Linked DNA regions of Bombyx mori. The protein of the gene in region 2 interacts with the protein of the main gene of each other region in a biochemical or structural test. Links are inferred from orthologs where the notes say so. Each region holds a gene or a part of one and is shown on either strand. Other genes may lie near its edges.

Region 1 (2,762 bases), on a different chromosome or scaffold from region 2:
TGTATGTTTTCCAAAGGCACATCAATTGTGGTTTATTAACTGATTAATATATGTGAAAGTGCACAAATGTGGGAAAATGAAACAAAGCCACTGGACGTAACTTCTCGGAATCGCCCAAGAAGTTCATTGAAAAAATCTCAGTAAATGACTTAACCTAATAGGTGTATGGCCCGGTATTGGCGGTATAGAGGCATATTTAATGCGGCGTCAGTTGCGCTGGTGCGGCCATGTGATGAGGATGTCCGACGAGAGGATAACAAAGCGCATCTTCTACTCTGAACTCCAGACTGGCAAGCGAAAAAGTGGCGGCCAATTCTTAAGGTATAAGGATGTTCAGAAGAGGCATATGAAGAAATGCAACATTGACACTTCTCGTTGGGAAGCTCAAGCACAGAATCGTTTGGAGTGGAGACGCTTGGTACAGCAGGGCGTGCATGTCTTTGAAAACGACAGGAGGCGCGAACTGGACGACAGACGAAATAAATTGAAAAATAGACCGCCTTCCACCATTTTTTACAACTTCGTGGGTGGTGTTCTTACGTGTAGCTTCTGTTTGCGCACGTTTAAGAACAAGATAGGCTACTGTAGCCATATTAGAGCGCATGAGAGGCGCGGACATTAGCTTTTAAGTTATTAAACTGAAAAATTTGGTCGCCGTGGTCGAAAAAAACCATGAACGTATGGCTCTAATAAAGAATGAAAAAAAAGACAGTTTTACTGAGATTATATTTCATCCCATATCATTTCATCTCATTTCATTTTAATTCATCCCAGTTGATTAATGTTTCATCACTCAAATTAATCATCTTCATTTCATTTCAGTCCATATTATCATTATTCATAAAAATAAGAATGTAGAATAAAAGAAGACATGACCTAAAGGTCTTAGTTACCAGGTCATAAAATCTCTTAAAAAAAAAAACATCGAATTTCAAAATGAGTATTCGAAAATGGTTGCGTTGACAGTGGCGCTACTGCATCCGGTTGGAGAACCTCGGCGCGCAGGCCGTCCAGCTCCGCGAGCGACACTGGCGCATCTTCTCGCTCAGCGGCACCCTGGAGACGGTGCGGGGCCGCGGCGTGGTGGGGCAGGAGCCCGTGCTCGCGAGGCACGCCCCCGCCTTCCAGTACAGCAGCCACGTCAGCCTGCAGGCCCCCAGCGGCCATATGTGGTACCGACATCTTTGTAAACTTTAAATGTATCTCTCTGTAACCTCATAATTAAGGGACAGTGGTATTTTAGTGAAATTGCTTATTTGTGCCTTGAAGCAGTAATGCGTTTCGGTTTGAAGGGTGGGGCAGCCGTTGTAACTATACTGAGACCTAGAACTTATATCTCAAGGTGGATGGCGCATTTACGTTGTAGATGTCTATGGGCTCCAGTAACCATTTAACACCAGGTGGGCTGTGAGCTCGTCCACCCATCTAAGAAAAAAAATAATAGAAGTAATAAAATTCGATTTTCAGGGGCACGTTTAGGATGGAGCGCGAAGACGGCTACACGTTCGACTGCCGCATCCCGCCCTTCTCCCTTGAGAGCAAGCCCGACGAGACCGCACCCCCCGCCCCTCCCGCGTGACCGCGCCCCCCGCCCCTGACCGCACACGACTCAACCACTAAGGTCATCGAACTTAACCAGAACACTTCATTCTGAAATTAGACCCTAAGAAGATTAGCATTAAAAGAATTACTGATGCAATTTCTATATCTCTGTAAACTTGATATCACGAACGGAAAACAATTCTCTGAAACAACAATATTAAAAGGACTCCAGAATTGGACTTATGTGTACAAGAATTGATGTGTCAGTGCTTCGCTGTCATAACAAAAAAAAACAATTATCTATGGTTTAAAAAAAAATTACGACCATAAACGAAAGACTACCAGTTATGTGGTTCTGTAAATTATTAGTTAAATGAGAAATTTCTTTGTAAAATAAAAGTAAGCTAAGCGAGAATCATAGCAAAATTATTGTGAAAAAATATGATTGCCACGTGATTACGCGACCAAGTCATTTATGTTATACTTTGTTGTAGAATAACTAAGTGATAAATAAATAGGTTATTTTTTTGTTTGTTTTAATTGTTAGACAACCACGGAAGACTAGTTTCATTATAATGTATCTATTTACCAATTTGTTTTAAAATAAATTTTGTTTTAGATCTGTAATAAATTACAGTATTCTGTGGTTCCGAGTTTTATTTGAGCAGTAAACTTTGATCTTATTTTTATAATGTATCAAAATTCGGGTATTAGGGCGTCTTATGAGCCTGCATGGGTAGGTACGACCACCCCGCCTTTCTCTGCCATGTGTTCCGGTTTAGAGTCAAACTTTTTTTTTTATTTATTGGTTTTGTAGGCAAACGAGCATACGGTCCACCTGATGTTAAGTGGTCACCGTCGCTCATGGACGTCAGCAATGCCAGGGGCAGAGCCAAGCCGCTACCTATGGTACAATTGAGTCTCAGACCTACCTTCTTTTAACTGTTGTTAGAATGCCTTGTGAGTTCGCACGTGCAGATGTAACTACCGCGCCTGTTTCTGCGGCGGAGCAGTAATGCGTTTCGATTCGAAGGGCGGAGTAGCCCATGCACTATAAAACTGAGACTTAAAACTTATATGTCAAGGTGAGTGGCATTTATGTTCTTGGTGCAAATCTAAGCAAAAAAATATGTGACGACATTCACATTCCGAATTCTTTGGGATCCTGCATCCACGTGCTCGTTTAACCCGTTTAAAAAAAAAGAAGATACCATCAATAA
Region 2 (3,544 bases):
CTGTTTTATCACTTGATACAATTTTTATCTTGCTATGTAATATGAAATCGTTTTTTAATAATTTTGTATTTCTTACGCATTTCTTCTAACTTATTCGTGCTATTTGATTAGCGCAACTTGTGGTTTGTCAGTGAAACGGTGAAAATCTCAGTGAAACATCGAAAATGGTATATACCGCGAACCATTTGCGATGACTTAAAAAGGAAGGTATTTAAATATACCTATTTTTTAATAGTGTAAAGTGTTATTTTCATTTTCAATAGGAATATCGCTGGTAAGTAATGTACATACATGATAAAAAATAAGACGAAAGATTTGTGTTTCGTGTTTAATTGTTAAACTCACACGAAGGTACTTGAAGTAGGCGTATACTTCAAACAGTAAATTAACACGCAGTGCGTAATTTACTACATAATTAATAATGACATAGATATTACAAATCGAATATTACCATCAGCATATTTAAATTCTCCCGCTAAGTATCACAGATAAGAAATCGGTTAAAGCGCCATCTATAAATTAGAAGATCAAAGATAAATTTTTTCTTCGTAAATGCTGATAATGAATGCTGAAAAACCCAAACCATGATGAAAAATTATAAGAAATTTTAAAATAAAAAATGTATATTAAAATTACAAACATTGAGTATTAGCTAGAATTTGAATTCGGCGCTTGTTTCCAACGTAGAACTAGCGTCACCTTGGGACACAAAACAAAAACTTTTTGGAACAAAGAGCTTTGCTAGCTAGGAAACCACTACCAGAAAATAAGGTTGTGTGGCATCTCGGTCGTACATATACACAACGTGAACGAATGAAAGAGATGCTATATAGATGTCTGCCGTCAGCAGAACCATCTTAATTTCTCGTGCAGTTGTTTCGCCTCGACCGTGTTCTAGTGCAGTGCAATCGCAGGATGGACGCCATTCGCGCTAGATAATTTTTATATAAATCAAAAAGAAAAAGCGTCGTCGCACGGGCTAGGAGCTATGGTGATATAGTGCGTAGAGTGCGATTCCGTGGTGGTGCTTCAATCCGGCGGCGGCGTGGAGGTCCTCGCGGGGCGCGGATGGCGAGCGCGGGCTCGCCCGGGGGCACCGCTCGCGCTCCGCCGCCGGCCCGATGAGAGGGGCACGCTCCAAGCACCTCGACTCGTTTTATGGGTGTTTGCGTGAGCTGCCGGCGCCGAGAGCGGAAGATCCCAGAAAAGCGGTCGGTGCCGGGAGTGGTTGGGCCCGCTAAGGGCGCGGCGGCGGAGCTGCTGCCCAGGCCAGTGAATCGCTTTACAGCCATGGCAAACTCCATGTCAAATATCAAGATGACCAACCCGATAAAGAATATGGTCAGCAAGCGCAGGATACGCTACACCAAGCACGGATTCAACCTGGACTTAGCCTGTATCCTTTTTGTGTAGTGTCTGTAAAAGTTAATGTTACGTTGGAGTTCTGTGTGCTAGCCTCAGTTGAAGGTGAGTACTTTCCGTTCCGAAACTGAAGTTTAAGCTTCTAAAATTATTTCATTTATTTCATATATCTTTTAGTCATGTCATAAGTGAAACAATCCAATTTACTTCGATATGTGATGTTCCTCTCGGCTCTCTCAAGGGCACTCATTATAACCTATAAAAACACATCCGTAAATTCTCCCGATAATGTAACGATGTTTCAGGTTATAGAAGAGAAGGGCATTTGTAAAAAAATACATTTACATTAAATTATGTAGGAGTGTGTCTTGAAAAGCTATTTGAATAGTCTTAGGTTACAAGGCCTCGAGCTTACACCTATAAGAGTACTCATTCGCCGATCATGAATCTTGGCCTTGTAATTTTTTTCCAAAATAACACAATAATATTTAAAATTGTGCGAAAAACAAATAATAAACGAACCAGAAATGTTTTTGTTCAAAACTGTTAAAATCTGGCATGGCAACAACCAACATAACCTATAACTTATACATAGGTATTATGTTCTATATGATTACTCCAACTGTTTACATAGTAACTATCAGATAGTGGAGTGTGCTCTGTTAGAAATGTGTATCTAAGTTTCATGTAATGAAGACAGTAGATTTGCTATGACCATATGCAATTACTTTATATGAGTACTAGTATTTAACCATGTGTTCGTACACATAACATTGTTATGTATCAATGTGTGAGAATAAAGCAATGTTTACACTAATTATGCTTTTGAAGCACATTTGCACATTTGCATACTAATGGCAGGTTTAAAAGTGGACTGTTGCATCTTAATGCATTGCTTTGACATGTGTGGGCAAGATAGATTGTGCGTCATGGAATACCTGGTTATAGTGTTTGTGTATTAATTATTCATACACATTAATGTAATATGATAATGAAAGCTTTGAATTACCTTTATTAATGTAATAAAAATATAGGGCAATTTAAAGGCTTTTATTTTGAAGATATTCAAAATATGTGTGTACATATAGTGTGGTAGTGTACTTTAAAGAACTACACTATCGACAGTATGCTGAGAATTTTATTAAAAAAAAATGACTGTGAGTAGATTAAAATTTAGAAAAAAGAAAAACATTTAAACAAAACTTATTTGAAAATAAATATGAATAAAAATTACAAATTAAACTTCATGAACAGTTAAAAATATATGATGGATATGGATTTTTTTTAATTTGCATTATAGTAGATTATGTCTGGTATGGTTGGTGGTATGGCGGCCGTGTCTGTAATCAGTACACAGACCAACAAATTAGCTGATGCCATAGATTGGCAAACAGCTACACCTGCCCATGGACATACTTTATAACTTTATCTAAAGTTGGAATCTTTAATCCCGTAAGAGTATTACATGCCACGTCGAGTGTTTGTAGAAAACAGTAGTAGAAGAACTGTCTTTGTAGGTACAGAATTTCCTATTCTGTATCTATACAGAAAACCCTATTTCATCCCTGCGGAACTGGTGATCTTAATATTTTTTATTTAAACAAAATAAATATCTATATTATAATAATATCAGAAATTATGATTTAAGATATAATTTAATTGTAATTAGAGAAAATCTGTTGATATCTTTGTTTGTGAACTGAAATTTTGTAGTTACTTTTGTAGCTCATGGCAAGGTTCATGGTGAGTTTCTATAATAGTACCATTAGCGTACGCCAGGTGGCGCACAATAAATGTGCGATCCAGTTTGATAGAGAATAAAACAATATTAATGTTGATTAAATGAATCAATTAACAACTTGCATAATATAGTTAATTTTAAAATATTTGGATTATCCATTCAGGACTTTACCACATGCCTCAAGCCTATGTTCATTGGTGACCACTTGACACTAGGTACGCGGTGATTTCGTCTTTCACCCACCACCCTATAAACATCTTAACAGACACATAAAGGTATAGGTAACCTATAGGTAAAAAGCCAATGTTTTGGGAACGTGTTTTGTATAGGCAAATCATATCTAACGAAATATAAAAAATAATGACAAAATATATTTAATATTAGTCTGAATAATAATTCTCGATATCAGAAGCACAAGGTCGGATCTATTTTATGCAAAAA

Evidence for each region.
Region 1: the proteins of phosphatidylinositol 3,4,5-trisphosphate 3-phosphatase and dual-specificity protein phosphatase PTEN (region 2) and polymerase delta-interacting protein 2 form a complex in vitro, tested with the Homo sapiens proteins (2 studies listed by BioGRID). The link is inferred for Bombyx mori from reciprocal best matches to the Homo sapiens genes PTEN and POLDIP2.

The regions. Positions count from the first base shown.
Region 1 is NC_085122.1:9,902,059-9,904,820, forward strand, and holds the end of polymerase delta-interacting protein 2, read left to right. Parts: intron 1-966; coding exon 967-1,172; intron 1,173-1,467; coding exon 1,468-1,579; 3' UTR 1,580-2,188; downstream 2,189-2,762. UniProt on the Homo sapiens protein: Involved in DNA damage tolerance by regulating translesion synthesis (TLS) of templates carrying DNA damage lesions such as 8oxoG and abasic sites.
Region 2 is NC_085109.1:13,025,431-13,028,974, forward strand, and holds the start of phosphatidylinositol 3,4,5-trisphosphate 3-phosphatase and dual-specificity protein phosphatase PTEN, read left to right. Parts: upstream 1-744; 5' UTR 745-1,158; coding exon 1,159-1,396; intron 1,397-3,544. UniProt on the Homo sapiens protein: Dual-specificity protein phosphatase, dephosphorylating tyrosine-, serine- and threonine-phosphorylated proteins.